Tamandua tetradactyla: one gene and its partners. The protein of the gene in region 1 purifies or fractionates together with the protein of each later gene. This does not show direct contact. Links are inferred from orthologs where the notes say so. Each region holds a gene or a part of one and is shown in the gene's direction. Other genes may lie near its edges.

Region 1 (6,968 bases):
GACCCAGCCTACAGGCTATTGGCCCTGCCCGAGGTACCTCCCCCACCTCCCCTTCAGGCTCTTTTGCCACTTACCCTCTACCACCTTGTGGTAGGCAAAATGCAGATAGAGCAGGAAAAGCATGTGCAGGGCAGCCAGAGTGCCGCAGAGGAGCAGGCGCTGTGTGGGGCCCACAGTCCGTGACACTAATACTGCCACCTAGGGCCACAGGGATACAGCTCAGAGCCTGTTCCAAAGTGAAGGATTGGAGGCAAATACCCCACCCAGGGCAGAATCATCTTTGGACCCTTCTCTACCATTCAGAACCCTTTGTGGGGTTCAGCTCCAGTGCCAGCCTTTCTTTCCCAACTCCCCGGGAGGACAGCCCACCCCTGAAAACCTCTTGCCCAGCTTACCATGCGCAGGGTGGATAAACCACCCACCAGCAGCCAGAAGAGGTAAAAGAGGGCATGGAGGTGGATGTTGTAGGTGATGAACAGGACAATGCAGTGCCCAAAGAGGCCATAACCCTGGGAAGGAGGATAATGGAGAGGAAAACCACTCAGGCTGAGGTTGGCCTCTGGTCCTTCATAGGAACCCTGAGAAATAAAGGGTACAATGGCTGGCTCCTCCCATTCCAGGCTCTGTGGACCCAAAACAGATGGAGACCAAGGCCTACCTGCTCTCTTAAGGTTATCCCTGCTCACTGCCATGCCTGGCTCCTTACCAGCAGTGCCAGCATCTGGAGCATGGTGATCTGGGCGTTGCACAGGTAGGCGAGGAAATAAATGAAGGACGAGACGCCCAGCCAGTAGCCGAAGCAGGTGCCAATGGCTGTGCCCATCAGGGTGCCCTCCCGCTGTGGGGTGAAGGCTCTGCTTAGTCCAGGGAGGCCTCTGATCTCAGTCTCAACCAGGGCCTTCCTCAGGGGGTGCTCCTGCCTCACTCCACCATCCTGTCCTTGGGCAGCTTTCAGCCTAGTTCAGCCACCCCCCAAAGTCCTCTGTCCTTACGATAATTGTGTCAGATGTCTTCATTCCATGGAGGAGGATAGCAACCAGCGTGAAGACCAGCATAAGAGGTCCATAGAGTTCACCTGCGATTTTCTGTCAATACAGCAGCAACTCATTCAGGATGGAGGGTACCATGGCTATCCCGTTTATGGCTTCCCAGGCTTTGCCTGGTGGCCTTACCCTCTGCCCTGGTGCCTCCCCTGTTTCTCAGACATGCCATCTCTTATTCACCTGGGGGAAGCTGACCATCTTGATAGGGATCATGGACTCCAAAAGCCTGGGAGAGAAGAGAGGAGACATAAAAGCAGAGGCAGAACTGAGTTGTGAGGTTCTGGAAGGGAAGTCCTGAGTCTTACCTAAAGGATATGCTGGATGATAGGAGGAGAGTGTAGTAAAGACAGACAGGGAATGGGAAAATCACCTCCTTGCCCTTTAAAATATTCCCAGGAAGGACAACCTCTGATACTGTGCTGACTGAAGCAGTTGCAATATGGAGAACTCAGCCCAGATGGGCTTTGGGAGAGGGCCTGACAATTTAGCTATTTGACCTATTCCCCTTATCAGACAAACAGGCCTTAACAGAGAATACCCAGAATTCAGGGCTGCATTAGTGAAGCCCTGGGAAAGGAAAGGTGTAACTTAGGAAACCAGCATGCATCCTGCCTCCTCTTGCTTGCTATTTCTTTAGCACGATTGAACATTTTCTTGAAAGCTACATTAGAAGTGGTAAGGAAACTCCAGGCAGAAAGAATAAAAGTACAAGATACTTCCCCACTCTCTTCTTAAGTGGTTAGCCCCTAATAATACTTTGGATTTTAGTTAGATTTACTTTCTCTGGAAAACCTGCCCTGGCTCATCCCCCAGCCCACCCTGGGTCAGGTTTTCCTCCTGAAAACCTGGTTTCCTAAGTTACACCTTTCCTTTCCCAGGGCTTCACTAATGCAGCCCTGAATTCTGGGTATTCTCTGTTAAGGCAGGTGTCCCACACGGCTGCCTATTTTCACTACACTTGAGGGCAAGGCTCCCATCTACCTTCACCACCGACTTAGGCACAGCTAGTATGGTGCCTGGCACAGAGAAAATGTTCAGTAGACATTTGCTGAGTGGTCTGGGTATCTGATAAGCATTGGTTAAGTAAAAATATGAACAAAGAACCAAATCAAGATTAAATTCAGTTCTTTAATAGTCATTCAGCTGCTATGCAATGATATTCCAGTTCAGAGACTATTCTGGCGCTGGGAATAAAAAGATAAACAAGACAGAGTCTGCTCTGGAGGGATTGGGTTCTCTGGGTAGACAAACCGAGGAATAAGAAATACACAATGCTGAAGTGCTGTCACATAGAGAAAACTGCAAAATGCTCTAGGAGCAAAAAAACCAACCAACCAAACAAACAACAAAGGGGCAGGCCATGGTGGCTCAGCAGGCAGAGTTCTCGCCTGCTTTGCCAGAGACCTGGGTTCGATTCCCGGTGCCTGCCCGTGCAAAACAAAACAAAACAAAACAAAATAAACAAACAAAAAATGCTCTAGGGGTACCAGGAGAGAATAAACTGGAGTTGGGGGTTAAGGAATAGGGAACAAAGGAAGTGACACTTGAGCTAGGTTTTGAGGAAGATGAGAAGTCGGCTAGATGGAGAAAAGGAGGAAGATAATATGATATCACCATGTTGTATTGAACGGCTGGTGAGAGGTATGGTGTGGCTGGGATACAAAGTGCAATGATGCAGGGTTGTGGGGTCACGAGGGTAGGGAGCCTGACAGCTCGATATATGGGTGTAGGTTGGATGAAGGACCAGGTTAGGAGAGCAACTCTGTTAGAAGGATCCTTACCTGCTTCGCACCTGGGCAGGCTCCACATCAAAGTAGGGTCTCAGGATGTCAATGTTGGCGTACAAACTGAAGGCCCTGGAGGCTTGTCTCTTCCCTGCCTGCCACATCTAAAGCAACGAAGATGAAGGGTGGGGTTGGGGGGATGGGTACCGTGAGACTCTTGGCTCTAGGCCCTGTTACCTGTTTTCTGTTGGATTTCTACATGGTTCTACCTGGGGTAGACCTCACCAATGCCGACTCCAGAGCCCTGGCCCTGCCTAGATATACTGTTCCACCTGTTTGGGATCCAGTCTTGCTTACCTGATCAGCCACTTGCCGGCTCAGTTGTCCCTTAAAACCCTTCATGCCCAAGAATTCCCCATCCTCTTCTTCAGCAGCTGCTGCATCAGCATCTACCTCTTCCTCACGCAGACGCTGATGCAGCTCACCCATATCCTCAAAGCTGGAGCCTGAAGTGTCATCCATGTTCTCCATGTCAATCACAGCTGAGCCCCCACCCTGTGAAGACAATGGCTCCTAGAATGAATGGCCTTTCTGCTCATCCATTAAGTCCTCCTCTCTCATCCCAAAGTTTGGGGCTCTGTTCTTCCACTGCTGGGGCTATGGCTTTGAATTACTACAGATCACGCCACTTCACTGCTTCCCCTTCATTTGCTCTCAGAATGCCTGGTTCCTAGCTTTGGCTCTCTTTTCTAGCCTAGGAAACCTACCAGCTGTCTTCCATTCAAACCTTTCTCCTGCTTTCGGTATGAAACCCTCAAAGGCTCAAGACAAAACTGCACACACTATGCTTTCGGCCAGTGACAGTAATTCCTGCCCCTCCCCCGCAGTGTCTGACTCCGGCCCACTTCCTAACTTGTCTCAAAAGCGTTAGTACGCTCTTCCTAACGCCTGAGGTGGGTTAGAGACCCGAAGCCTTCCGGCTGGAGTATCTGTCTGGACCTTTCAAGACAGCACTAACCCCTCCGACTGTCTCGCCCAAGACCCACTGGAGAGAAAAAGTGTTGCAAATGGCGCAGGAGATAAAAAGGTTAGGAGCGGTTTTCCAGGCCCTGAAGGAGAGTCCTCAGGGCACTACAGGGTGGCTGCCGGCGCTAGGGCTGCTGGCATCCAGAGCTTTGGTCCATTACCTGGATGTTTTCTTCGAACCCTCCCCATTCCGGGCCAGTCCCGTTTCGGGCGCCGTTGACAGGCGCCGCTGTAGCTGCCATGTGTCTTGTGGGCTCCCGTCGCTGAAGCCCGCGCTAGCCCCGCGCCCGGAGGAGCGGGCGAAATATGGGTCCGAGGGAGGGAGATGTCAAGAAGCAACGAGAGACAGGACTAGCCGGAACGCAAAAAAGGGAGAAGCCCGGATGTTTGGCCAAATCAGACTCCCGGAAGCTAGGGACGTGGACGGAATAGGATCAGAATCTCGCGATATCTAAACCTCCAGTTGGTGGCTCGTTGTCACGGAGACGGCAAGGCTAGTAGGACGCACGCGCCAATTTACTGTCTTAGTCACGTGGTGGGTTTGAAGATGGCGGCGTCCCAGAGGGTAGAAGAAATGCGAAACCGCGTGGTTCTGGGGGAGTTCGGAGTTCGAAATGTAAGTCCTGTGGCTTTAGGCTCGGGAGGGGAGAGGGGATCAGAATAGGGATGAGTTGGTGTCGGGGATGCCTTTGGCCTCGCAGACCCTTCTCGGACAGGCTCGCCTCTCTTTGCTCTAGGTTCATACTACCGACTTCCCCGGTAACTACTCTGGTTACGATGACGCCTGGGACCAGGACAGCTTCGAGAGGGTGAGAGAGGAGTGGGAAAGTACAGGGAGGGAGAGGGATCTGATTAGGAGGTGGTTGGGGCTGTAGGTGTCCGGAGAGGGTGTGAAGGCCGGACGGTGTGAGCTAAGCCTCAGAAGTTGTCCTTGGGGCTAGAGCCAAAACGTTCATAAAACGTTTACTGAGCGTGTTTCCATCCCACCAGTGCTAGGTGCTGCGTGTACAAGGCTGAATCAGGCGCATGTTTTTTTTTTGCCCTGTTCTGTGAACAAGAAGTTGGGGAAGAGCGCGCATAAAACAAATGATTCCAGTATTGTGTGACAGTGGCGGTTGATAGCGATAAACATGGGATGGGGATTGGGTATCCTATAGAAGGACCTAATCTGGACTGGGAATGGGGACGAGGTATGAAGAGTGCCTGGAGGAGATGCATCTCAATTCAATCTTCAATGATAAGTACAAGTTGTGAACATTGACGAGAGAGGAGGTACTAATAACAGAAGCTAAATTTTGAGGTGTCTCGGCATTGTCCAAGCAGTTCAATATTGCTGTGATGTAAGGTGGGCTGGCACGAGTGATAGGCAGGACTGGAGTAAGTCTTAGGCATTGCAGGTAATAGCTTTTGAATAATTTTTATACAGATAACATCAGATTTGCAACTCACATGATTGGGAGAGAATTTGAGCAGGATGATATGGGTCAGGCAGACCTGTTGGAAGAGTTGAAAATGAAGGCATGGACTAAAACTGTGTCCATGGAAATAGAGGAAAGGGAGGATAGAAGGTAAAATTTGGGATTGATTTGATATGTGCGGTGAGGGAGGGGGAGTGTAAAATAACCTAGTTTGAAGAACTGCTTGGATGGTGGGTGTCCTCTAAGAAGAAATGGGTCTGGGGAAGGAATGATGATGCATTCATTTTCCTGCATGTGGCAATGTCTAGCAGGCTAGAAGAATATATATTTGAAATGAGATCAGAAAGTAGAGTTGATTAAAACCATGAGTGTGGGGTTGAGGTACATGGGAGACAAGAACCTGGGAAATAGTAACATAGGGGAAAGTAGAAGATAGTGAATTTAGTAAAAATCATCAGAGAAGGAAGAGAATCAAAGTTTCAAAAAGAAGGAATTTTATCAATAATGGCAAATGCAGCAGAGTCCAGTAAGGTAAAGCTTGAGTGGTGTCGACTGGAATAAGCAGTGTGGAAGTTCCAGTTCCATAAAAGAATGGCTTCTGTGAGATGATCTGGCTAGAAACCAGATTGCCGAAGGTTTTGAATAGATAAAAACAGAATTTCCAAGAAAAAAAGAAAGGATTCGGGAGAAAGGGACATGTAATGAGGGACATTTGGGCAAAGGGGAGGTTCCTGGATGAGAAGGTATTCATACTTTGAGAGAAATATCCAGAGGGGAGATGTAGAGAGAAATTGACCATACAGATAGCTGGCATCAGTTTTTCTTGCCCCTCTAGAATTTCCGTGTGGATGTGGTACAGATGGATGAAAACTCATTGGAATTTGACATGGTGGGGATTGACGCAGCCATTGCCAATGCATTTCGACGCATTCTGTTAGCTGAGGTATTGATGGGAAGGTGGCATTTGGGGGGTTGTGTGGGGAACCATGCCATCACCTCCCTTGTTGAATATATGCATCTCAAGCTGCAGCCACTCCTTGTTTTTCTTGTAGTTTTGCTGGGCATTCCTCTTGCCCATTCCTTGTAAACTGCTCATCAGACATTCTTTCAGAAGAGTTCTTTTCCTATGAGGAGGCAGGGATTGGGTGGGGAGTCTCTTGAGTGTTTGCAGATGGGTGATACTATTTCCTTGGGCAGGTACCAACCATGGCTATAGAAAAGGTCCTGGTGTACAACAACACATCCATTGTCCAGGATGAGATCCTTGCCCATCGTCTAGGGCTCATTCCCATTCATGCTGATCCCCGTCTTTTTGAATATCGGAACCAAGGTGAGGGTCTGGGAAAATAAAGTTTTGGAAACAGGGGAAGTAACTCTTTATTGAAGTTGATTTTGTAATCAAGATTGCCTGAGTTTAGATACTGGGTTGACTACTGTGTGATCTTGGGCAAGTTACTTAGCCTTTTGCAACGTTAATGTTCTCATCTGTGAAATGAAAATTGTACCTGTTTTATAAGTTCATCAGGAGGATTGAGATAGGCATTGAGTATAGTACCTGGCATGCAAATGTTCACAAGTTTTCCTCCTCCTCTTACATTTGTGCAGGAGATGAAGAAGGCACAGAGATAGATACTCTGCAGTTTCGGCTGCAAGTCAGGTGCACTCAGAATCCCCATGCTGCTAAAGATTCCTCTGATCCCAATGAACTCTATGTGAACCACAAAGGTGAGTAGTGGTAGGGTAAGGGAAAGGCTGAT
Region 2 (7,104 bases), on another chromosome or scaffold:
GACTTTGTCGGTTTGTCCAGGTTAGTATGATGCCCCGATATATCCCAGAGTGATTTAAGCAGTGAATAAAGAAGTATATGCAAGGTTTCCTTGGGGCACTGGGGAGAAAGGAGGAAACATTTAACTTTCCAACTTGTAGAGTTTCTGATATTCTCATAAGCAGTGGAGAGAACCAAATCAACAGGCCAAGTCCTCAGTCTTGGGGTTCATCTCTATGAAACTTATTCCTGCAAAGGATAGGCTAAGTCAACTTAAAATTAGGTCCAAGAGTCACCCCCAGAGAACCTCTCTTGTTGCTCAGATGAGGCCTCTCTCTCTAAGCTGACATAGCAAGTAAACTCACTGCCATCCCCTCCTATGGGGACATACTCCTTTATTCACTGCCCAAATCACTCTGGGATATATCGGGGCATCATACTAACCTGGACAAACCAACAAAGTCTCACACCCTATTCAATATTCCACATACTTACGGTGTTCAATTAAACTGACCAGGGGCGTAAATCTCCCTGTCAATGTGGGACAGAAATCCTGGGATGAGCCAGAACCCAGCATCAAGGGATTGAGAAAATGTTCTTGACCAAAAGGAGGAAGAGAGAAATGAGAAAAAATAAAGTATCAGTGGCTGAGAGATTTCAAACAGTCAAGAGGTATCCTGGAAGTTATTCTTATGCATTATAATAATATAATATCCCTTTTCAGTTTATGGGGTATTGGAGTGGCTAAAGAGAAGTACCTCAAACTGTAGAGCTGTATTCCAGTAGCCTTGTTTCTTGAAGATAATTGTATATATATATAGCTTTCACAATGTGACTGGGTGATTGCGAAAACCTTGTGTCTGAAGCTCCTTTTATCTAGGGTATGGACAGATGAGTACAAAATATGGATAAAAAATAAACAAATAATGGGGGGACAAAGGTAAAATAAATTAGGTAGATGGAAATACTAGCGGTCAATGGGAGGCAGGGGTAAGGGGTATGGTATATATGAGTCTTTTCTTTTTTATTTCTTCTTCTGGAGTGGTACAAATGTTCTAAAAATGATCATGGTGATGAAAACACAATTATGTGATGATATCATGAGCCATTGATTTGTACACCATATACAGAATTTTTGTATGCTAAGAATGTACGTTTGTATGTTAAGATTTATCAATAAAAATATTTTAAAAAATGTATATAGTTGGAATCTCAGTATCTTCTTAATGAGGGCATTTATTCATGTCTTATTGATAAAATTTTCCCTTTTCTTTCTGTTAATTAAATATGGATGCATATATTTTTATTTGATATATTTATAATATTTGATATATTATTTACATAGATCTTACACTTCACATATATACCAATTCATTGATTCCTTGCAATGGCTCTAAATGGTAGGCATTATTATTCCTATCTTACAATGAGAAAATTGAGACTTAGAAAGGCTAATTAATGTGCCCAAGGTTCCTAGAAGTCATCAAAGCCAGGATCCAATCCCCAACCTGTCTGACTGGAAATCTTGTGTAATAGGTCAAATTTATTAGCCTAGCAAACTAATGAGCATCCTGGGGAAGTCTGGGGAAACACTAGGACATCTTACCTTTGCTAAGGTGTCAAGGTATACAACATTCTCATACAGAGGAAAGACTGGTCAAAGCCCATTATCTATGTTTTAATCTACATAGATAACGCTCCGTCCAAGTATAACACTTGTAAGCTTTGAAAACTCCCCTAAGTTAAAACAAGCATGGAAGGATGTAAACAAATAAACAGACGAGCAGAAAACTTATGACGGTGTTATTTTAAATTATTTTAAATACATTTGATTCCTACCTGATTTCATTTCCAAAAGTGTATTGCTATCAATTTCATGTTTGGCTTTTCCAGGCTGAGGCACTTGCAATGGTATGATTTGAGGGACAGACACCGAACCAGCAGTCATTTTCTCTCCTGATATTAAAAAATTACATGAAAATAAATTTCAACGTGTACTCATATTTGAATGTAAGCTGAAGAGAAGCACCTTGTTTGAAATGCAGTAAAGTTAATAAAAAAGAAAAAGATTTTGTTAATATTATTCCATTTTTAATTGAAATAATGATTATGTTTCAGTTGTATTTTTTGTTGCTGAGGTTTTGTGTAGGGTTTTGACTATCTAAATCCTCCCCCTCTTTTCTGGGAAAAAAAGCATGAATGAATGGAATCGGGTACTAGTGGACTTATTAAATGGGCATATTAAGGAATGAGGCAGAACAGAGACCAGCACTAATGATTTGACCTAGTTTCCACTGATCAGTACCACCCATTCCCACCTCCTACCACTGTGCCACCTCTCTTGGCTTTGGGGTAATCATCACACCAGAGAAACAGTAACTCTATATGTAGCATTAAATGTTAATTTAGAGCCACCTCCTTTGGTAAACTCTAGGTCCTCAAGCCCCAGTTGTCATCACAGTGGTCCCTGCATTTCAAAGCTGCAGAGAAGCTCCAGAAGGACTGGAGAGTATCAGTCCTCAGCAGAAAGGAAGCTGGCATAGATATAACCAGTGCCCAGCAAACACAAGTCTCCTATTCCATTTACTGTATTTACAAATAATAAACTAGCTCAGAGGCCTTATAGATCTTTTTGTTGGGGCGTGTTATCCTTTATAACACATAAAATCTTTCAGGGAAATAAAACCGTCACTTCAAAATAGCAACCATTTACATCTGTGTATGCCCTTTTCAAATTTCAGTGATTGTGACACATAAGTTTTACTCATTTAAACTACATATATTCATTCAGTTTTTAAAGCCTACTTCTCACACCCTCAACTATTTACAATCTTCCATATGTTTATGTATTACCTATCAATTTTTGGTTAGGCATTTAGGCAAGTTCAAGTTTCTTTTTGAAACTTAGTTTTGGTTGTTGCAAATCTAAATAATATTGCTCTAAACATTTTTGCGGTTTGAGTTTTGTCACAGACTGCATTTCAGAAATGGGAGAACTAAATTTAAGGGGTGAACTTAATGCCTTGTTTGACAGTTCCAGGTTGAGGGCAGTGAATTTAAACTGCAGATACTAACAGTAGAGCAATAGCCCCTAAGAAAGGTAGCTGAACCTTGTGAATGCTTGCAAGAAATTGCTCGGCTGCTACTTGTCCAAATCTGCACTAGAGACTTGTCCAAACCTTAGCATGGACTTTTCTATTGCTAGGCCATGCCCCTGGACGGGCCCCTGCCCCCATCCTGAGCTCTTACCTAGAATGATGCAATACTGCTAAACCGCATAATATACTGTTCTCAGAAACTGCACAACATGAACCCATTGCTAGACCCCTGAACTTTTTCAGATCCCTCTCAGCAATTATCCAGTCCTCTTTGTGCTCTTTAAAAAATCTGACTCCCTCTGTGCTAATCGAAGTTGAGACCGGCTGCCGACTTCTCTTCGCCCTTCCATGGCAGTTTAAATAAAAGTCTGTTCTGACACCGTCTGGTGCTTTCTCTGACACATTGAAGGGCTTGCCAATTCCCGCATTTCCATTAGCGTGAGATGTAGTTGAAATAAAAATAGCTGAAATCTCCGTTCACAATGAAAATAGCTGGAGAGGGAGGAATTCGCCCGCGGCACTGATACCTGCTCTCGGGAGGCAGCGGCGGCCAGTGGGCCCCACGCAAAGACCATGAAGGGCCCAGACCCGCGAGGCCCAAACGACAGCGCGGCGTCAACAGCACCCCTTCGCGCCAACACACGCACACATAACCCTACCCCCCCGCTCAGACCTCCTCCCTGCTGTCAGGATTTGCAGCTCCATCCCGTACCCGCCCCCGCCCATCAGCTTCAACCAGGGACACCCGTATCCTTTAGTGAGTGAGGAAGGCTCTCCTCCAGCTACCCCGACCGAGATTAGGACCCCTCCACTAAGCCCCTGCTGCCTCCGCCACCCTCGGGGTAGGGGGGTGGGGGTAGCTAGCCTCTCACCACCTTTCGCCGCCTCTTGCAGCCTGCTACCCGGCGGCCCAGGTTACCACAGACACTGGGAGCAGCGTCCCGCCCGCTAGCAGCTGGGCAGTTGATTGGCGGAAGCCCGGCTTCCTAGCAACCAGCTCCGCCCCTGCGGCTTGGCAGGGCTGGTCTTGCCTCGGCTCCTTTACTACGGCTCCACCTTAGGCATCCGAGAATGTGCCTTCACAGAGGTAGGAAAGTGCTAAAAGACGGCGTCTCAACTCAAAATGAGGGAACCAGACTCGTTAGTCCGACAAGCGTTAATAGTCAGGAAAACAAGAATAAGAAGCTGTGGCAGCGCCGGCACGTGAGGCGGAGCAGGCATGGTTTGGCCACCTGGAGCCGACATATAAGGAAAGACCGACTGCGACACCAGGAGGAAGGCCCCTCGTCCCTAGTGCTGTTTTCCCGGCATTTCCCGGCTCCTTACCCAGCCATTCCGTGAGTCTCTTCACTGCTGGGGCCGGGAACTGCGCCCTCATGGCTGAGGTGAAGGTGAAGGTGCAGCCGCCCGACGCTGATCCGGTGGAAATAGAAAACAGGTAAACGTGTGAGTTTTGGTTCAAGGCTTCGGGTACCTTTTGGTGAAAGCAGCGGACCTCTTCTCCGTGGACCAGTGTCGGGTCTCACTTTACTCTGGTGCTGTTTTGGAAGTTGCGGTGATACACTTCTTTCCTACATTAAGGTGATCAGTGCCCAAAAATGAGACCTTGGCGTCTTCTCCGTAGTTCTTGTGGATACATTTTGTGATCCGGGCTCCCTTTGTCACAAAAGAGGCCCCCTTTGTCGTGAAGGGAACTCACTGAACAAAACTTTTGGTTGGAGTTAGGGGTGCAGTTTATGATCACGAAGCAGTGTTAAGCCACATGGCTTCGGTGAGGTATTGAAGTCAAAACTTTAGAGCACTTAAAGCTACTCCCAACTATGTATTCTCTGCCAGTGTACTTCTCTTTATAGATATTCACACAGTTTTAAAAGACCCAGCTCTCTCAAATTGTTATAACAGCTATGCTGATCCTATGACAAAGTGAAGATTTGGACTTATTTTTGCTTGGAGAGAGAATTCCAAAATCAGGCTCCAGTGAGGGAGAATTGTTCTAACAAGTTTTGCCTCTTGTTTACAGTGTTATGGCTACCCATTGCGTTGTCTTTATTATTATTCAGTAATTTCAAACTGACAAAGGCAATATGCCTTGTCATGTTTATTCCATCTGAGAAAATTGGAGCCTCAGTCTCAAAATTTTTTTCTGTATTTTCACTTAACTTTTATTCTAATTTAAAGTTGAAATTAGTGAGGGCACGTATATTTAGGAAGCATGTTCCTCAGTTTCTTACGTACTTTGATTCAGAACCATCATAGAAACCCAGGTTATCTGTTAGATGTGAAAAACACCCAAATTCAAACTGTTCTGCTTGGATTTCCCCCCAATGCCTCCTGAAACAGATAAACATATCATTAATGCCTTTGTTCCTAGGATTATAGAATTATGTCACCAGTTCCCTCATGGAATCACAGACCAAGTAATTCAGAATGAAATGCCTCATATAGAAGCCCAGCAACGGGCAATGGCCATCAATAGACTGTTGTCCATGGTAAGGAGAATCCAACTTATTCATGTAATGTTTTATATGTTTTGGTTTCCATTACTTCCTATGACGTAGCCATAAAACCGGGTGTGTTAGCTTGTGACTGATAAGACAGCTCAGACTAAGCAGGAAACCTCTGATACTAGGAAACAGCTAACCAACCTGAAGTGAGTAAAGAAGTTCTAATTATGGGTCATTTTATAAGAGCAACAAAATAAATTTTCCAATATTTATACAATAAATGTTGTATTTATTAACTTAATGGTCATTAAGGTAATAAGGGCACATACGTGTAGTCTGTGCTCACCTCTGTTTGTTTCCCTACTGCTGGTATTGGGCACTTCCATATAAAATAAATTCCCTGAATTCTTTGTGAGTTGTCACAGAGCCAATTCATTAGAATATCACCCTCCCCAATCTCAAACTGGGCATTTCAAGAGGTAGGAATGAGTTAAATGTCAGCAGTGCTGTTCCTTTAGGAAGAAGTGCAGGCTTTGCTAGTGACATCACAGTGGGGTGTTTCAGTGAAACGTTTTCCCACAGTCCAAAAACACCCCACCAAGTGGTAATCTGTGCTCTAAATTTACCTATTTCTCCTTCCTTTCCCCCATTTTCAAAACTCCCATTTCTTGAAAGCATTATAGTGTGGTTTTAGGAGCAATTAAGTAAAAGAGTTCAACATTAACACCTCATCTGAATGACTGATTTGCTTTTTAAATCAAATTTTTTAAATGTTGAATTTCTAAAGACGCTTGATATGATGATTTGCAGGCAGGGTAACCTTCTGTTAAATCACTTCTTTACCCTTTTAGCTCAGAGATTGGCACTTTTTCTATAAAATGCTACTTACTAAATATTACAGGCTTTGTAAGCCATACAGTCTGTTGTAACTATTCGACTCTACTTTTAGCGAGAAAATAACCATGGACAATATATAAACAAATGGACATGGCTGTGTTCCAATAAAACTTTATTTACAAAATCAAACATGTGGTCCAGATTGCCAGCCTCTGTTCTAGCGCAAGGGAAGAAGGAGTGTAGGTAATTTGTGGTCAATTTTCCATAAAGGTCTTCAGCTCCAGGCAGGATAGAGGAAGGGATTCTGGGTGGTAGAAGCAGTGGGAAATATTACTTTTGGTCCTCCAACTACCCCTTTAGTCCTCTCCTTTCTTTTCTGACTGAGAGTTATCTTCAGCTTCTACCCACTGCCAGTCCTATTGGCCATAAGCTATAAGCAGTGGTAGAATCATAGAGGGATTTTTTTTTATATATGTTCGATGGCAGGGTCACATTTCATTATTTTTCCATGTGAGTATCCTGTTATTGCAGCACCATTTGTTGAATTTTTGTTTGGCTGGCTTTTTTGGGGGGGGAAGTGTATGGACCAGGAATCTAACCCAAGTCTCACACATTGCAGGCGAGAATTCTACCACTGAACTATCCTTGCACCCCCCCCCCCCCATGGAAGGATTTTGTGCAAGGGAGTAGTTACTGATAAGTCACCAAGCGTTGCTGATTTAGCATTTCAGCTGTTCTCAAATTTGT
Region 3 (7,781 bases), on another chromosome or scaffold:
ATGTGCTTCTGTTATTCCAATGTTGGATTATTTTCCATACTGGTCATCTATATATCTTGTTCTTTTCTTTCCTAGTTTCCATTTTACCTATCTCTTCTACCTTTTGCAAGTTTTTCAACTTTATCTTCCAGAACTTCTATTAAATAATTTTTGATATTTTAACTCACAAGAGCTCCTTTTTGATTGATTTGTTCTGTTACTCAATTTTAAAGCATCCTTATTATCTCTTCGATGTCTTGGATTCAATAGCTTCTGTTATCCCCTGGATGAGTTAATAGTTTTTCCCACTGAGTTGCATTATTGTTTGTTTTGAAACTTGATCTCACGTTAGAGGATTTTCCAAAACGCTTGTTTAAGCATTTTAAGATTTGGGGATCCAAAGGTTGTTTGAAGCATATGCCTAGGGCCTAGTGTCACAGGCATCTTGGTTTTTTTCCTTTGGAGCTGGGCAGAACCCCAGATAAAAATTCTTCTACTTTTCTATCTGGGGAGGAAAGGCCTGGCTGCTATCCTTCTGGAAAACCAGTGAGGACACATATGTGCATATATTCCTCATGTTTTCCACAATGAAGTCCTAAACTCAATAATGTTTGGTGTCCTATCCTGAAATCAAAAAACTCTTCAGTTTTAAAGAGTGGGGGAGGGGTATTCATTTTCAGCAACCAATGTAGGGTTTTAACAGCTTCTAACATGTCTTCCAACCAATTTTACTCATTTTAGTATCCTTTCCTTCACCCAATGAGGTACTTAATAATTCCTGAGCATCTTAAGGCTCCTGCAACATAAATGGCATTGGCTCCTGATTTCCTAGTGCAGGCACAGGATAAAACTAACTCAGTCCCTATATCTGCTTTCCAGATCTGCAATAGTTCCCTGGTCAATATGGATTTATACTTAAAACAAATAACCCACTATCCCTTTCTAATAGTCTTAATGGGGTTTTGGGAGGGAGCCAAATTACATGGGTCTATTTAATCTGCTACCTTCTTGGAATCTGTATGTTTGTTTTTAACCTCTCTAAGCAATTTAAGTCTACTGGAACCACTCCTCTGACACAATATTTACAATCATTGTAGTGTCAGTTCAGATAATATCTTGGTACTCTGGGCAAATTGCTTTAAACATGTATAAACGTTCTTCACATCACTTGATAGCACTTCATATTATTTAAATATTGTGAAAAACAGGCAAAATGATATCTGCCCATTTCAAGAGGAAACTGCTATATCAATCTAAAGTATATTACTATCTTCTTATAAGTAGATATTATTTCACTATTAGGGTGAATTGCTTTTGCATCAAAGATATACACTGGATGATATAGCTGGTGTCTTGGCCTCTTTGTACCTCATTTACAAGTCAGCTTTTGAGTTTGGAATACTGTGCACAGATTTATGCTTCTCCATGACAGGTGATCCTCCATACACTAAATGAAATGTAATAAACAAATGACTCCAATCTCCTTGCATTCTAATGAAAGCAGTGAAGACTTTATCCTGTTTGGGTTTGTGCTATTTGTGTTTGTATGTGTGCGTGTGTGTGTAACTGTTTATAAATTTTTACTATAAATATTTTATATCTTTTTCCAGTCATCTGGATCCTTAATAGCAAGTTAGAATTTTTGAAGTAATTTGTTTGCCACCCTGCCCCCCCGGAAAATGTGTGTGTACCATTTTATGACATTGTTGGCTAGAATGAACCAGACTCTATTTTTTATTCAAAGCTCTGCCTCTCTTTGGAGACATGTCATGAGAATAAAAATGTACACATTCTCTGAAAAAAAAAATAGCAAGTTAGAAAGCCACATCATTCAGAAGAGACAGGAAATTAACATACCTGAGAAGGGAGGAAATTAGATACTACTTGAGAGTGTGAGACAACCAGCTCCTAATGAAGAACAACTTTTGATAACACAGTATTTTCACCTTCAAAGTGCTTGGTAAATATTAAGCTTTCTGATTACACCTTCAAAAGTCTTAAAGCTCCACACAAGTAACTTGCAGGTCCTTTGCAGTTTCAAAATGCTACATTCTACCATCAATTGGAATTCAGGAAACCTGGGTTTAATCTCAGCTCTTGATCAAACTGGTTATGTTTGATCTGCTTGGGACTCCTGTTTTCATCTATAAAACAAGGGAGTTTCACTTGTTGATCCCAATTATTCTTTTGATCTATAAATCTCCCTTGGTGCCTTCAGAAGTAATTTATTCTTTAAAAAATTTAAATACATTTAATATTATTATAAACATATTTTGGTCTAGGTGGGATATAATTCACTGGAATCAACTAATTCTGAATACCTAGTAACTGCATGTAAATCTCACCTCTAAAAGTTTGAATTTTATCAAGAAATACATAAATTAAAAGGACATTTAATGTGAATGTACTTTTTTTCATCTTGAACTGTTATGAAAAGATGTTTTGGGTGGTGTGGGCAATTTATAGAATTGTGTTTTCTATTTTTTAATATTGCAAATTAATGAAATCTTGTAAGATAAAAGTGCTTATTCTTTATTTGGCAGTATGGCTGGGTCAAAAAGTGAGCTCTGTCTGGTACCTATTGTACTTCAACAAGTGGGTCTTTCTACCTTATAGAGGGATATATTGGTAGCAACTAAAATGGTTTGGAAAGGGAAAGGAAAAAGGGGATTTCATTTTACAGAATTATCGTAATATATTTACGGGAGGAGATTCATGTATGTTCAGTTTGCTTGGATATACTGCACCTTGGCTCCAATCCATTTTGTTAACTATTTTGCTCGGTAGACTTCAGCCAAGTCATCTAACTGGGTGTCAATGGCCTCATTTCAATTGTGTTGTGAGGGTAAAAAGAAGAAAATGGAAGCATCCTACAAAGAAGGAAAATTTAATAAACCAAACATTGCTACTATGGCTATTTAGCTCAATTATTTAAGCACCAGCGTAGAGGGTTTGAGGCAGGGGCTGACACCTTCCTCTATTTTGTTTTATTCCATGAATTTCTTTCTGAACCCCATTCTTTCACAGAGCCAGAAAAGATCAGGATTACCTAGGCATTAGACGACATCTCTCTCCTCTACCGGAAGCAACATCCTAATTAATTATTCTCAGGTTTGAGACTCAGACATGTTTTACTTTTATGTTCGCAATCACGCTTTTTTTCTCGTGAGGCAACATCAAGAACAGAAATCTATTTTGAAGATAATGGTGCTCGATCACATTGGAACCGCTACTCTCTTAATGGTCTTCTAAACCTACAGGTGGTAATCGCCCACATGCAGTGGTGACCAAGCAGATGAAGTCAGCAGTTCTCAAAAGCATAGCGCATGGCATGCTCTCTTCCTGAGGTGTCACTCCTTAGAAGTCTTCTCGTTACAAAAGCACCTAGAAATGTCAGACAGGTGCCCGGAAAAGCACTGGGAAATCCCAGCCACAAGTCCCTGTAGCGCTACTACTGTTAACGGATCGAGGAAAGTGACTAGGGGGTGGGGACGGCTTTCACTCGAGCAGCGCAACCGCTACACAGTGGCCGAAGCCGGGCTCGGCAAGGAAAGCTGCAATGGCCTTGCCTCTGATCGGGTGGGCTTTTACTCAAGGAGTGCTGCAACTGAAGTGGTGTTTATGCGACGTGCCAAAACAAGCCCCTTACAGCCACGCAGGTCTGCAACATGCATCCCTAGGGCCGTCTCTTCCCCCATCCCTTCCCTTAGAGAGCGCGCGCGCATGGGGGCCCCTTACCATCCTGCAGGACCAGGGTGGGCTGCACAGCCTGCACTCGGAACTGCCTGGCCCTCCAGCCGGGGCTGGGTGCCCGCACCACCTCGCTGTCGGACAGCCAGGTCACCGTCTCAAAGTTGTCCCCACGAGCGAGAGCCTCGGCCTCGGCGTGGTGCACCGCCACTCGGTCAAACTGGTAGAGGCCGCCGGCGTGGTCGAAATGCACGTGCGTGGCCACCGCCAGCAGCGGCCGGCGCGCCGCGTCTTCCTTGGCTCCGCGGTCCTGCAGGAGACCGGAGGAGTACAGGTACTCCGGGAGGCTGCGCAACCCCAGGCCCGTGTCGATCACCACGTCCTGCTCCGAGCCGCGCACAAGCCAGATGTTGGCGCGGTTGCCCGACTCATAGAAGCGTTCCTGAATCCAGAAGATGCCGTCGCCCAGGGACTTGTGGGCGTACCACTCGAGCGCTGACATCGTGGGCAGGGGTGCGGCCGGGGGTGGGCGGGTGTGGGCGTGGGAGCTTCCCGCAGGCTGTCCGGAGGAGCGGCGCTGCGGCGGTGTGGAGCGCGGTGCCCACAGGCCGGAGAAGCGCAGAGCGAGGAGGGGGGCGGGGGCTGCGGAGATACGCGTGGGGAGGGGGGAGCAGGAAGGACGCCTCGCACCTCCCGCACCCTCCCACCAGGTCCGCAGAGAGCAGAGGATTCGCTGCCCGCACCCGGACGCAGGAGCACTAGCTGTCCAGCACAAGGCGGGGGAGGGGAGGCGTCAATGCAGGGGCCGCTTCAACAGAATGGAGATCCAAAAGGCGATACTTTCACCACCTCGCGAGGAGAGGGGCACTGGGGGCTGACTGCAGAGGCGTGGGAAGTCCCGGGTCTGTCCGCCCACCCGCGCAGCACTGTGCTCACTCCCAACCGGCGCCGAAAGAGTCAGGCCAAGCCGGTTGGAAGAAAACTACGGCGCCTGCCAAGGGCTAAAAAACCTTTAACCCAGGAGGTGGGGCCTGGCTGCGGGCTGGGCGGGGCTAGATGGCCGGGCTCAGAACGCGGGCCTGCGGCCGCGTGGAGGGCGGGGCGCGCTGCTCCAGAGGTAGATCCCCCGGCCGGCGGCGCCGGCTCCCTCCATCCGCACCCCTTCCTTGCCGGCCGGCACCTCGGCTGCAGTTTTGCCCGAGCCGGGAGACTTAGTGAGCAGGTAACTGAGGAAGCAACCGGGACCCTGGGAGGGGACGAGGTGGTTAGGGGGGAGTTTAAAGAGGCACATGGAGTGGGTGGGGGAAGCCAGGCGTGGAGATTTAAGGTCCTCTGGGAGGAGAAATGTTGAGAGATAGCTTTATCCTCTTCTGCTCCATTCAAAATCTTTTAGTTGTGGTTTCTGGATCTTACTTGGTCTCCACTTCCTGGGACCAAGTGATTTAGGGGGGAACTTATTTACTCTTACTGATGGTAGGAGATTTACCAAATCCTGTGACTATGCGATTTTTCAGGTACTAGTCATTGCCGCAGACTTGCCCCCTAAGGACAGATTATTCAGGATCTGTTTTTAACTGTGGGCATTTTACCCTTCGTGGGGAGGGAGTTTGTTAAGATTTTTCTTCTTTTTGAAAAGTAAAATTCTTTATTTTTCTTCACCTCCCCTCGCCCCTCATTTTTGGTTAGTTGGTTCGCTGTTGGAAGAGAGCAAGGAAAGTTGGTAGGCATGCCCAACCAAGGAAAGGTGGAGGCAGCCAGCCCTTCTGACGCCTGGAAAAGTGAATAATAACTGGGTGTGGTCCCGCCAGCCACGTAAATCACCTCTGTTATTAACACCCGGTGCCTGCAACCTCCCCTCTCCTTATCTGCAGCTTTTGAAACATCCATTTAGGCTTAGAAAATTCCCTTGAGAGCTTGATTTACCTCCCCACTCAGTCAGGAAAAATTATTAAGGGACCCATGAGACAACATTATAAAAGATAATTATGGAAACCCTTACTCTGGCAGTTACTAATAAGCCTTAATAGAAACAGAGGTATATGCTCTTCTACATTTTTAAGGCATTTGGTGGGGATGCGACCTTTCTGAAGATTTTACTAATCCTTGGAGGTTATCCAGTCACCACCTAGGGGGGCACTTTTATGTGCATGACCCTGAGCTAGATGCTGTATGAGGAAAATAATTGTGTGAGAAAGACATGATCTGAGTTCTCAAGAATGCGAAGGAAAACAATATCTGTACACAAATTTTTGCAATACAAAGCAAATATGGGGTATAGACCACAGAAGGAGTCGAAATTAGGTGCAATAGAGTACAGCTAAAAGATGTTTTTATTAGGACATTCTCAGCAGGGAAATACAGCGCTCCCAGCAGTTCGGGTATTTTTCATCTAGGCAGAAAGAAACCGTTGGAGTTGAAATGAAATGATATCCTTGTGAGACCAAAATCTCAGCAAAAATTCACCCAACATTTATTGTATTTTTTTGCCAGGCTCTGGTTAGGGATAGGACATAAAAAGAAGAATAGGTTTTTATAGAGACCCTATGCATTTACAGATCCCTCTCCTTATATCCCATTTTCTCCCTAGATATCCTTTCCAAATTCCTTGCATGGTTCCCTCCCCTACCTTCCTCAGGGAAAGCCTCTCTCCCTTACATTCTTCAGGGTGCTCAGATATTACTGAATGAAGAAAAGACTTCTTCAACCATCCTTTCTATAGACGGGGTGTTCCCAAATCTAGTTTCCACTCTTTCCACTGTAGGCCTTGAGTTTAATTTAAATTTATTCTCCATTTCCTATACTAGATTATGAATTCCATGAGAGCACAGACTTCGTTTTGTTCATTGCTATGTTCCCAATGCATAGAAGATGTCCTGATTCATAGAAGGTGCTTAGTAACTACTTGATGAATAAATGAATGAAGAGACATAATGGGGGGACAGGCAAGAAATGAACAATTACATTACAATTCTAAAACCAGCCATAGAAGCATGTACTACTTGGTAAACGCTGAGAAGGGAGAGGACTACCTCTGTGTAGGGTGTTGAAAATAGTCACAGAGAAAGTGACATTTTCAAGGAGTCTTAAAAGGATTGCTCGGGCTTCCTCAAGTGGATGTGGGAGGACACTCCAGGCGGAGGGTACACTGTGCAAAACTAGGGTAGCAGCGTTTGCTGTGGTTAGAGTCTGGGATGCAGAGGACTAGAGGCAGAAAGTTAGACTCAAAAAAACTCTCTTGGGTGTTTATAAGGTTGAGAGTGACAGGTCAAGATATGTTTTGTAGAAAGGCAAATGGAGAGTGCATTGAAAGACTGTCCATGGGAAGTTTGTTCTGTTTTAGAGGTTCAGGTGAGAGACCATGAGGGAGTAAACTAAAGGAGAGGTGAAAGAAAGGGAGTGTGTGGGAGAGCACACAGACCTGATAGTCTTCTATAATTAGATGAGGGAATGGAGAGAAAGGAGGTGAGGATGACTATCAGGTTTCTGATTGGGGCTACTAAGGTGTCATTCATCAAGAAAGGGGCTGCAGATAGTGAACAGGTTTGCTGGAAATTTCAGTTCAGGACACACTGAGTTGAGATATTTGTAAGATACATAGGTAGAAATATGCAGATGGTCAAGATAGAGTTCTTAAAAGAGGAGAGAGAACAAGGCTGGATTTAAAGATTGGAGAATTCTTGCCATGCTGGAGACCTGAGTTTGATTCCCAGTGCCTGCCCCTGCAAAACAACAACAACAAAAAAGATTGGAGAATTCTCCAAAGAGGTTAAGTGAACCTAAAGTGGATGGACTCCCTCATTGGGAGGTAAAGTGGATAGACTCACTGGGAAGAGTTTCTAGAGTAGTGTCACCGCTGTGGGGCATGAACTGGAGGTGTACATGTTTCCTAACGGCTCCCAGGCTCAAATGATTATGGAAGTTGCTTCCCAGATGCTCAACTTTTGTATGTACTCCTTTCTAACGTTCAGAATTCACCTACCTTAGAGGCTGGAGGTCTACATCTTGCTAGTTTTCCATTCCTAACTTATCTTTCCCATTTGTCTTTTTCCATTTTACAAAAGAAAGGCATACCTCTTATTCACCCTGGATTTGGTGCATTGCTTGGCGTTATG

The links.
Region 2: the proteins of POLR1C (region 1) and POLR3F purify together in Homo sapiens (affinity purification with mass spectrometry; 4 studies listed by BioGRID and IntAct, counting the BioPlex papers as one, with this or other methods). This does not show direct contact. The link is inferred for Tamandua tetradactyla from reciprocal best matches to the Homo sapiens genes POLR1C and POLR3F.
Region 3: the proteins of POLR1C (region 1) and POLR3G purify together in Homo sapiens (affinity purification with mass spectrometry; 4 studies listed by BioGRID and IntAct, counting the BioPlex papers as one, with this or other methods). This does not show direct contact. The link is inferred for Tamandua tetradactyla from reciprocal best matches to the Homo sapiens genes POLR1C and POLR3G.

What each region holds. Positions count from the first base shown.
Region 1 is NC_135331.1:101,093,604-101,100,571, forward strand, and holds the start of POLR1C (DNA-directed RNA polymerases I and III subunit RPAC1), read left to right. Parts: upstream 1-4,035; 5' UTR 4,036-4,340; coding exon 4,341-4,409; intron 4,410-4,530; coding exon 4,531-4,602; intron 4,603-5,219; exon of another isoform or gene 5,220-5,361; intron 5,362-5,732; exon of another isoform or gene 5,733-6,046; coding exon 6,047-6,154; exon of another isoform or gene 6,155-6,408; coding exon 6,409-6,541; exon of another isoform or gene 6,542-6,816; coding exon 6,817-6,936; exon of another isoform or gene 6,937-6,968. Other genes in the region: protein YIPF3, read right to left, coding at 75-198, 396-509, 707-838, 993-1,085, 1,224-1,269, 2,825-2,931, 3,125-3,322, 3,955-4,035. UniProt on the Homo sapiens protein: DNA-dependent RNA polymerase catalyzes the transcription of DNA into RNA using the four ribonucleoside triphosphates as substrates.
Region 2 is NC_135327.1:42,132,899-42,140,002, reverse strand, and holds the start of POLR3F (DNA-directed RNA polymerase III subunit RPC6), read left to right. Parts: upstream 1-4,086; 5' UTR 4,087-4,452; coding exon 4,453-4,514; intron 4,515-5,447; coding exon 5,448-5,565; intron 5,566-7,104. Other genes in the region: DZANK1 (double zinc ribbon and ankyrin repeat-containing protein 1), read right to left, coding at 1,818-1,926. UniProt on the Homo sapiens protein: DNA-dependent RNA polymerase catalyzes the transcription of DNA into RNA using the four ribonucleoside triphosphates as substrates.
Region 3 is NC_135347.1:40,811,032-40,818,812, reverse strand, and holds the start of POLR3G (DNA-directed RNA polymerase III subunit RPC7), read left to right. Parts: upstream 1-4,763; 5' UTR 4,764-4,891; intron 4,892-7,781. Other genes in the region: acyl-coenzyme A thioesterase MBLAC2, read right to left, coding at 3,718-4,171. UniProt on the Homo sapiens protein: DNA-dependent RNA polymerase catalyzes the transcription of DNA into RNA using the four ribonucleoside triphosphates as substrates.